3 linked regions of the Yarrowia lipolytica genome follow. The protein of the gene in region 1 interacts with the protein of each later gene in a pairwise test. Links are inferred from orthologs where the notes say so. Each region holds a gene or a part of one and is shown in the gene's direction. Other genes may lie near its edges. The genes, in order: YALI1_D14609g, YALI1_A19483g and YALI1_E08545g.

Region 1 (3,807 bases):
GAGCTCCTACGACTACCATCCGATATCACTAATGAGCACCGTACCCAACGACCGAGAAATCGTCCAGGCCGTGGTCGACATCTGGCGCAAAGACAAGGCCACCGAAAAGCTCGGGGCCGCGAAGCTCACAGGACTGGTGAAGCTGACCCACTCGGACTGGCAGTTGAGTGAAAAGCGAGTCAAGACGGTTATGAAGGCTGCCAACCTGGGTCTGAACCAGGAAAAGTTCTGCTACGCGGGGTCTATTATGTCGCACGCGACTCCAGGGCTCGATATGCCTGAAAAAGTGACCCTCAACATTGCCAAGAACCGAGGCAAGGGCCTATATGCCAAGAAGGATATCAAGAAGGACGAGGAGCTGTGGAACGAGCAGGCGTTTCTGCTGGTTCCTCCTCTGGAGCATGTTGGTATCATGCGTAAGGGCATGGGCTGTGCCTTTTGTTCGCGGCCCTTCCAGTCGCACAATGGAGTGGAATGTCCGTCTTGTGCTGCCAAGTGGTGCGACAACCAGTGCAAGAAGAAGGACGTCACTCATGTGGCCATGTGGCACGAGAGTAGGCATGGGAAAGTGACGAGGGTGGAGTGGCGTGCCTTTGAGGACTTCTGTGTGGAAAATGGCTGGATGGCTCTGTATGCTCTGGGCCTACTGTGGCTGCGGGTCATCAGAGACCCTAAAAAGGACGAGGTGCAGAAGCAGATGATGGCGTTTGCGCGGGTCGGCCAGGATGAGCGCCACAAGGCCGTGGAGCAGTCCAACTCACTGTTTGCGTCCGAGCAGTCTGAGGTGCTGTGGAAGAAGGGCTACGAAATGCTGGACAAGCTACTATTGGACACGGAGTTTTCTTACGAGAAGGACTTTCTGCCCGGACTAGGCATGTTCAACATTAACAACGTGGACGGAAACATGTACTTAACCCAGAGTCATCTCAACCACTCGTGCGAACCCAATGTGGATGTCAAGAACGTGGGCCGAACGCAGGGCATTTCTGTGCGTGCCAAGCGAGATATCAAGACCGGAGAAGAACTGTTCACCACGTATGTAAACCCTGAGCACCAGTTGGATGACCGACGATACAATCTGCGAGTCAACTGGGGCTTCAACTGCAACTGTACCCGGTGCAAGAGGGAGGAGAGAGAGGAGATGGAATACCTGGACGAGCTGGTGTCCAACTGGACCATTGAGCACAAGCGCAAGGAGATGAAGGAGGAGAAGAAGGAGCGAACTCGAACCAGAACCCGAAGTGTTCATTTCGATAAGGAGCCTGAGGTGGTGGCATGATGAGGGGAGACGGAGTGAATAGGACCGTGTACCTGGGTAGGGCTATATTGCAATGAGATACGCATGGGTATTATTGTAGATGGTAAAAGACGCTGTAAACTATTAGTACAAGTTCACTATCGATGAGTTCATACATACTCAATAGCTCTTAAGAGTATTACAAATGCCTCCTTTGACCGTGTACACATGGCCTATTGGTAGAATCCTTAACCTGGACACACTGTCCTGATATTGCAATATGGAAGGTTGAACACTTCAGTAAACGAAAGAGCGTATCGAAAACTACCACAAAACCAACTTGCAGTCTAACCAAAAAAAAACTTGGCGAGATTGAAGTTTTACTTATTGTCCTCAACAAAACATATACATTATAGTTGGTCATGAAGAAGTAGAACATAACAGGACATCTAACTCACGTATTACTTTCTTGATAAAGAATATAAAAAGACAGAAACTATTTAAACGACCTGATATCTCCCCTTGTGTCATCAATCTATTCCAATAAGCCCCCCCCTTTCGGCTTCATTTCCCACCTCTTCTCCAAGACGCCACAGGGTTAGGGTTGACCCGTGCCCAAAGGCAATCACCACCTCACCCATTACCACACAACTCTTTGACACAACAACACATACAATCTCTCTTCAACCGACCTGAAAAATGACCATAGAAATTGCGAAACCTGCCGGCGAGCATTCTCTACCTTCCTCGGCGACCCCCGAGGACTATTACCGTCGATTGAAGCAGCTGGAGCGGGAATACGAACTTATCTCTCTTCAGGAAGAGTACATCAAAGACGAGCAGCGCCACCTGAAGCGCGAGCTGGTGCGAGCCCAGGAGGAGGTCAAGCGGATCCAGTCGGTGCCACTGGTGATTGGACAGTTTCTGGAGCCCATTGATCAACAAACAGGTATTGTGGCGTCCACCACCGGCTCCAACTATGTCGTGAGAATCCTGTCCACACTCGATCGGGAGCTGCTCAAGCCCTCGTCATCGGTGGCGTTGCATCGACACTCCAACGCGCTGGTCGACATTCTGCCTCCGGAGGCTGATTCGTCTATCGCCATGCTGCGGCCTGATGAGAAGCCCGATGTCTCCTACGCCGACGTGGGAGGCCTTGACATCCAGAAGCAGGAGATCCGGGAGGCTGTGGAGCTGCCTCTAACACAATTTGAGCTCTACAAACAGATTGGTATTGATCCTCCTCGAGGTGTTCTGCTTTTTGGCCCTCCTGGAACCGGCAAGACCATGCTGGTCAAGGCGGTGGCAAACAACACCACGGCATCGTTCATTCGAGTGGTGGGCTCCGAGTTTGTGCAAAAGTATCTGGGAGAGGGTCCTCGAATGGTCAGAGACATTTTCCGACTGGCCCGAGAAAACTCGCCATCCATCATTTTCATCGACGAGATCGACGCCATCGCCACGAAGCGTTTCGATGCACAGACCGGTGCCGACAGAGAGGTCCAGCGTATCCTGCTGGAGCTGCTCAACCAGATGGACGGTTTCGACCAGACCTCCAACGTCAAGGTGATCATGGCCACCAACCGAGCAGACACACTGGATCCTGCTCTGCTGCGTCCCGGTCGACTGGACCGAAAGATCGAGTTCCCCAACCTGCGAGACCGCCGAGAACGACGTCTGATTTTCTCCACCATCGCCTCCAAGATGTCTCTGGCTCCCGAGTGTGACCTGGACGCTCTCATCATTCGAAACGACCCTCTTTCTGGTGCCATCATCGCGGCCATCATGCAGGAGGCCGGTCTGCGGGCCGTTCGAAAGAATCGATACGTCATCATCCAGAGCGATCTGGAGGAGGCCTACTCTGCCCAGGTCAAGGTGGGAAGCGACAAGGACAAGTTTGAGTTCTACAAGTAAACCACTTGCGAGTGCCATAGACAGCGCAGGGAGATGGAGCGGGAAGTTATAGGTATATACATTGCATTTTCATGCTTAGAATGATAAAACAGTTGATGTGACTCGTGAAAATCGGGATAAGTTTTTTTAAAATTACTCACAAGTAATTAATTCTCATAAGACCATTTAGTTAACTATACTCGTCTAGGCCCGCTGACGAGGTACAAAACCATGTATTAGGACGAGATGACAACGATTCAGTAACAATGAGAACACCATAAAGGATGTCACGTGATTCACTCAACACGCCTATTTCCTGTTTCTGATGATCCGTTGAGCACTTCCCATTGAAAATTGGAGAACCTAGATCAAAGGCCAGCGGTTTTCATACACAGACAAGAGATGTTGTCCACTCGAGTTGCTGCACTCGCATACTCGTCCCTTAATCCAGCAGAATCGGTTCAAACTCAGAGTCTCCTTGAACCTCGGGCTTCTTCTTCTTCTTCTTGACTCTAGGTGTGGAAGGAGGAGAGTCGTCCAGATCAATAACTTCTGGCTTTTTGTGTTTCTCCGAAGTGGGAGAGCTGGAAGAGTCTGCTGAGGCTGCTGAGGCCGAAGAGATCACAGTGGCCGTGGGAGCACTTGTAGATTTGCTAGTCTCCTTGATGTCTACCTTC
Region 2 (3,123 bases), on another chromosome or scaffold:
AACACATCCCAGCCACGCATACCCCATGCATCCACAATGGCAACCCTCCCACATACGAGCAACTCGGCGCGCTTCTTGAGATTAGGAGATAAGCCAGAAAGAGCGGGACAAGTCCGTTGGGGTGGGGGGATGAGTGTGTGGAGGTCACGTGACTCCTTCCGATGGGTGTAATCTGTATATTTTTGACGACTCTCATGCGGGAACATGGTGGTATTGCACTTGGAGAGTATATATACCCTGCTATACAGGAGAGCAAGAGAGAACAGTTGTACTACAAGTGGCACAACCAGCGGTACTTGTACTCTGTAGAACTCCGATTGCACAATTTCCACATGTACCTGAGAGAAGCACCATCTGCCTCTTGTCTCGGCACTGGCTGGTGTCTTTTGTTGTCTTTGGGTGACGTGTTTCAGATGTCTTGACGAGTACGAGTACGAGTATGTACGAGCGAGTACAATACACTTGGATACGATGTGATATCGGGCAGAATTAGAAAAATCGAGTAAAATAGATTGGAATCGGGAAAACCCCCGATTTGATAAGAGTCGATTTTATATATATTTTGAAAATTGAATTGCACAGGTTTCGAGCAACGCGGCCATTTTGACCCCTTTCTATACCAGTTGTTTGGAAGGCCTATATGGTCAATATTGGAATAAGATGTTTTTTAGAGATGACAATTACGTCATATTGGAGGAACATAAAAAGGCGTATGCAACGGACAGAATGGTGGCTCAACAAACTAGAAAAGACTATGGTTGGAATCAGCAAATCAATAGCTCTCGATCAGTCAAAAAATTATCGTCATATTGGCAAAACTGGCCTCATTAGAAGCCCTCTCCAATCCCTTGTCTCATGGCAAAAAGTAACGATCAGTTAGTAAAACTTTTACTACAGTGCAGTACTTGTAGTGTGACCTGGGTCAAAAAAAAAGATGGAGGTAACAAACAGAGCGGGTGTCAAGTCTACAAGTGCATTATTGGAACGGAAAAATTCCTTAAACGGGCATTTCTGGCTACTATACATACATCAGTCGTCTATCAAATAGCAACGAATCTATCTCACGCCACAGAGGAGATATTGGAAATCTGACAAATCCGTCCTTCTTTTCATGCCCATTTCAATCAGTTTATCATCTCTCGGCGTGTCCTTATCCCTCTTATAAGGTGCTGTTTGTTCGTCACCATCAGTCAGCTTTCAGTTGGATACTGAACGAGTATGTACTGTACCGTAGAAGAACATCCTGGGGTAATATTGGCCAACTGACTCTTTCAACCAACTCCGAATCTCATCTAATCCACTTCTGACTCTTTCGTTACCCTCCAGCTCACTTATTCGTCTCACAACCTCACCCGTTCTCTTTAGCAGAGGTACTCCTTCAACTCCAGAATACCATATCAAGAGCCATATATTTCCATATCCAATGGTATCATTTGCACGTCTCCCAGATGCCCATACCGCCAGTTAATCGCATGTCATCAACAGTCCAGATCCATGACACCCCCAGCCCATGTATGACTAAGCAGGTGGCAATCAATACCACTCAACTCATCTGTGGGCCCTAAAAACTCCATCTCCCCCTCTTGTGGAGCCGATAATGACCCCCTTCACTCCGCCTTTTCGCATACTCTTAACCTCTATGTGCATGCACATCGCCACTTAACCTAACTGTAGTGACACGATCCAGCACCACTCAACCACTCAACCACACAACCGCAATCACAACGACAATGTCTCCAATCGCATCTCTGGAAAGCGCATACAAGGCCGGCGACTACGAAAAGGTGGAGCAGCTGCTTTTGCCCCTTAAGGTGGACATGGCCAAAAGCGGGCTTCTGACGTCGCCCAACTCGTCTGGTCATTCAAAGGCGGACCTGGAGGCAGCTCGAACGGCGCTCGAGATTGGCGCTCTGTCTGCCGTCAATCTGGGCAAAGAGGCCGAATTCACCAGGTTTGTGGCGCAATCGCGGCAGTTTTATGGCATCCAGGGTCTTTCTGCGTCGCCCCACGAGTCCAAGATTGTGGCGCTCTATCTGCTGCTGCTGCTGTCGCAGAACGAAATTGCGCAGTTCCACACCGAGCTGGAGTCGTTGGACTTTGACACGGTGGAAAACGACAAGTTTCTATCGTTCCCCATTAAGCTAGAGAGATGGATCATGGAGGGAGCCTACGACCGGGTGTGGAAGGCCATCACCAACAAGGACGCTGTTCCCAGCTCCGAGTTTCTCTGTTTCGCCGACCCTCTAGTATTTGCCATCCGGGGTGAAATTGCTTTGTGCGCCGAAAAGGCATACACCTCGCTGCCTCTCAACAATGCTCGACATTTGCTGTTTTTCGACTCGGACCAGGGCGTGGTGGACTTTGTGCAGGAGCAGCCTGGCTGGGAGATCCACGGTGAGCGAATCACCTTCCCGGGTGTTATCAGCGAGGACGCCACTCTGAATAGCAGAAAGGTGACCGAGAAACTGATTGGAAACTCGTTGGAGTACGCCAAGGAGATGGAGCAGATTATCTAAGGGAGCGACAAATCGGAGATACGATACGGAAACAACAATCTATCGGTACAGTACCGGTTCGGCGAGGATCTCAGTGTCACTACCATCTGTGATCTGGCCTGACCATGATGAAGTATGAATTGTTCTAGATGATGCATATTATAATGAGCAGAAAGTGTGTAGTGATAGTACGGTACGTGTATTGAATGAGGAAACCGCCGTCTCTCATCTAGTGTCCTTCTAAGGTGAATTGTCGTAGGACGATGTACATACGCATGTTGTAGGTCGACTGTTGTACTTGTGGTCACGTCTCACTCGACTGTCTGTGTTTTATTACAAATAATTGATGTAAACAAAATGGGCAAGACCAGTGCAACAGATTGATACTACTTGTATCTACTTATCCATGGAATGTCTGTGGATCGTGATAAGGGTCGTTTGAGGTGATGGAGGATTAGTTGACCCAAGTCACATTTTACTTGAGTTTACTTGGGTATTGTAACAACAGCCGTTGTCTAAATAAAATGGCGTCACGGAAATAAATGAATGTATAAGCAGAAACAACCCAGTATCAGCGTATTCTCTGATCTCGGGAGGGTACAATGTGTGTTTCACTACTGAGAGTGCC
Region 3 (3,703 bases), on another chromosome or scaffold:
GCAGATTCGAGGCTTCTCTCGCTTGAGCTGTAACGCGCAGGTTCGGCAGTTGATGCTGTCCTTGGGTGCTGTTGGGCTCTGAAGCAGCCACTTGGGCTTCAATTCGACCGTATATGACTCCCAGTTGTCGCTGTAGTTGATTTTGACTGCGTGGGACTTGAGCACGTTGGTTTCATTTGGTTTAGGCCCCAGGTTCTCCATGAGCAGACCCAGGGGCTCTCCGAGATCGAGATTCTCGGCCTCGGGAAGCGACTCGAGGAACCCCAGAGGCAGATTCACAACTGTATAGTGAAACAGAAAGGGGCCAATGGCCGGTCGGATTGTTCCAGTTAGATACTCGTCCACCTCGGCTGTGGAAGGGGCGTTTCGGTTTCGTCGCAGTCGCAGAAGCAGATCGGTCTCATCGCTCTTGTAAACCACGTTGGCGTTACCTGCCGTTAACAGGGTCCATTTGTAGGGAGGCAGCGGTGTCGGTAGCGAAGACATGATGGTAGTTGAATCATGAGAGTGGATTTCCGAACGCTATAGAGTTGTATATGAGGGATCTGGTTAAGGTTGATAGAGAAGAGCCAGAAGTTTAACACGTGTTGGGGGAGAGAAGGGGTGACGAAAAAAGGGGTGGGGAAGGGAGGTTTTGGTGGCGTGAAAAATGGAATCAATATAAGTCGAGATTTGGAATTAAATTCATATTTTAGAATTGTTATACGAATCCCATAACCCCCCACTACCGTGACCCCTCTAGTACAGTATTATTCACAGTTGACGTGTACATGCACAAGTACAATCAAGTACTCCATGCATTGTCAAAACTATAAATAAATGTATAATGAAAAACATGTTCGAGTTTGAAAGCAGTCGGGTGCAACGATGACTAATTTGTGTTGTTTGGGGCAGTTCTAGTAGCAGAAGTGCCTGTAATCTGTTTCGCTTCACCCACAAGTATCTATGATTGCCCCCTTACTCTGTTTTTGGCCCCTATTTGCCACTCTTCAGACCTTTGACAAACTCACATGTACAATGATGTCAACCTAACGACGTCTGGGCTTTACATCTGATACATTTCATTTGAATAATGAGAGTTTTAAAAGTTTTAGACAATCAGTGAAAAAATAAACGAGTAAAACTTTCGGGAGAAACGCCTCTGGATGATTTTGGAACCCATCTGGCGAGCTTTTAACAGCGTGGAAATACGGTCGGATCGTCTCACGTGATACACGATAGAGATGCATGGAAGTGTCCGCGTACTACAGTTCAAGTTATGGCTATAGTGCAAGCTTAGGATGACAAGAACTCCAGAAATGGGCTGAACTCAATAGAAGCATAAAACCGTTTCGAGGACTGGCCTGCGTTTGATTGTATCAGAACAAGCCGCAGATTATTCCAGGGATGAGAAGAAGAGGTATCAGAAGAGCTACAAGACAAGGACAGCTCGAGTAGAATCAGGTGATCAGGGGCTTTCTGCTAGTACCCTAAATAATGTACTTCTTCTCATGAGGGGATGTTGGTAAGTAAATGATATTGCTTGAGGATAACTGATACCGAATGAGTACAGCAGTCTAGTAGTGAAGGAGTTATGGAACTCTTCTATATTTTTTACAATAGCTGTACACAAGTACTATTTACTTGTACTTGTAATTACAGTGATCTAGATCACAAAACGGCACCCTCCTTTAAATGTGATGTTTGCGGGAATTGAACCTAAGATGTTATAACATTCGGTTAAGTAATTAATTAACTTAAGGTCAACGAGTCATCGGCCATTACTTTAGGAATTATTTCCTCTCCAACACCATGATTTGATATCAGTCCGAAGTTTTGAAAAGATTTTATGGCATTACAACACCCTCTTTTATAATCCACATACTTTTTTTTACAATTACTAGTCATAATTGCCACAATAATCAGGCTCCTCTAATGGCCACCTATCTACTACTAAACCTTAATCCTTGCCAACCTTACCCACCAACATCACCATTGCCACCCACACTGCACAATCAATCACACGACATCACAATTGCGACAATGGAAATAGACAACGACGTGCCCACTATCCTGGCTACTCTCCGAATGGAGGCCGATCCCGAGCTGGCCGCAACTTTCTACTCGTTGGAAGATCTGTGGGAGCGAAAGCTGTGGCACCAGCTGACAGATGCGCTGGCCGAGCTGTACGCAGACCCCCGATCCAAGCCTCTGCGACTGCGAATCTTCACGCAATTCATCCAGGTTTTTGAGCGCAACTTGAACCAGCTGAAACTGGTCATTTTCGGAGTGCTGGCAGCTGCCCAGTGCAATAACGACGAGGAGACCTTGGGCTTCCTCACCAGCCTCGCAGATAAGGTCAGCCACAAGCCCGACACCCAGGATGCGTACGTGTACGCCCAGATTGAGATTGCACGAGTCAAGCTGCGTCTCAAGGACATGGATGGCGCTCGAGAGGTGCTCAACTCCGTCACCGGCACCATCGACTCTCTGAACTCTGTCGATCCCATCATTACCGCCGCCTACTACGGCGTCAACGCCGACTACTATCTTTCCAAGGGCGACTTCAACACCTACTACCGTAACGCTCTATTGTACCTGGCGTGCATCGATCTGTCTACTTTGTCGGTGGAGGCCGTCCAGAAGCGAGCCCATGAACTGTCTGTGGCAGCCCTGTTGGGAGAGAAGATTCACAACTTTGGAGAGCTGTTGCTGCATCCCGTACTGGACAGTCTGAAGAACACAGAGTACGCTTGGTTGCGAGACCTGCTGTTCGCACTGAACCAGGGCGACATCTCCGAGTTTGAGAAGCTCACATCGCAGCATGTTTCCAAGCTGCCTCCTCTCGAGGCCGCCATGCCTCTGCTGCGACAAAAGATCTGTCTGACAGCACTGACAGAGGCTGCCTTTAAGCGACCCACCAACGACCGAACTCTGACCTTTGCCGCAGTGGCAAAGGAGACTCAGCTGCCCGCAGACGAGATTGAGCATCTGGTCATGAAGGCGCTGTCGTTGGAGCTCATCAAGGGCCACATTGACCAGGTTGCTCAGACCATCACTATCACATGGCTGCAGCCCCGAGTGCTCAACAAGCAGCAGATTGCCGACATGAAGCAGAGACTCGACCAGTGGGACGCCAACGTCAAGCAGTTGGGTGGATGGATTCACGACCGAGGTGAGGGTGTTTGGCTGGAGGCTTAGGCACAGGTGACTTATAGCATGTATGAATAGATGTATGATCATGACACGTGTAATCAGCGGAGTATCTGCCTGGTGGGCTCTACTATCTCTAGCAGCTACAATGTAGTATCTCCTGCGTGTGGCGGTCACTCTATAATACCAATATAATGATTCGATCAATAATAAATATACATAAATAATCTACTCGACGGACTTGTCGCTCTGAGCGGGGTCCGTCTGGTTCATCTTTGTTAGCTGAGGAACTCCCTCAACCTCCATACCCTCGAGCTCCAAGTTGCTCTGAGGTCCTTCAAACCACTTGTGGGCCCATCCAAAGTAGTAGATGAGCGAGCCAGCCCACACGGCCACGTTAATGACACAGGTGTAGTTCATGTTGTCCTTGTTGGGGTTGGGTCCCTCCAGAGGGAACATCAGCAGACAGATGGCAAAACACAGGTAAAGCACAGCAAAAGTCGAAACACACTTGGAGATCACACGACCAAGGTAGAAGGGTCCAGGCACGAAGTTCTTGTAACCCCAGATG

What was found.
Region 2: the proteins of YALI1_D14609g (region 1) and YALI1_A19483g interact in binary tests that used the Saccharomyces cerevisiae proteins (3 or more experiments, as listed by UniProt). The link is inferred for Yarrowia lipolytica from reciprocal best matches to the Saccharomyces cerevisiae genes RPT3 and RPN12.
Region 3: the proteins of YALI1_D14609g (region 1) and YALI1_E08545g interact in binary tests that used the Saccharomyces cerevisiae proteins (3 or more experiments, as listed by UniProt). The link is inferred for Yarrowia lipolytica from reciprocal best matches to the Saccharomyces cerevisiae genes RPT3 and RPN9.

The regions. Positions count from the first base shown.
Region 1 is NC_090773.1:1,459,081-1,462,887, reverse strand, and holds YALI1_D14609g (uncharacterized protein), read left to right. Parts: upstream 1-1,936; coding exon 1,937-3,151; downstream 3,152-3,807. Other genes in the region: YALI1_D14628g (uncharacterized protein), read left to right, coding at 1-1,279; YALI1_D14585g (uncharacterized protein), read right to left, coding at 3,573-3,807. UniProt on the Saccharomyces cerevisiae protein: The 26S proteasome is involved in the ATP-dependent degradation of ubiquitinated proteins. The regulatory (or ATPase) complex confers ATP dependency and substrate specificity to the 26S complex.
Region 2 is NC_090770.1:1,946,514-1,949,636, forward strand, and holds YALI1_A19483g (uncharacterized protein), read left to right. Parts: upstream 1-1,730; coding exon 1,731-2,516; downstream 2,517-3,123. UniProt on the Saccharomyces cerevisiae protein: Acts as a regulatory subunit of the 26S proteasome which is involved in the ATP-dependent degradation of ubiquitinated proteins. Necessary for activation of the CDC28 kinase.
Region 3 is NC_090774.1:852,569-856,271, forward strand, and holds YALI1_E08545g (uncharacterized protein), read left to right. Parts: upstream 1-1,914; coding exon 1,915-3,180; downstream 3,181-3,703. Other genes in the region: YALI1_E08530g (uncharacterized protein), read right to left, coding at 1-486; YALI1_E08575g (uncharacterized protein), read right to left, coding at 3,361-3,703. UniProt on the Saccharomyces cerevisiae protein: Acts as a regulatory subunit of the 26S proteasome which is involved in the ATP-dependent degradation of ubiquitinated proteins.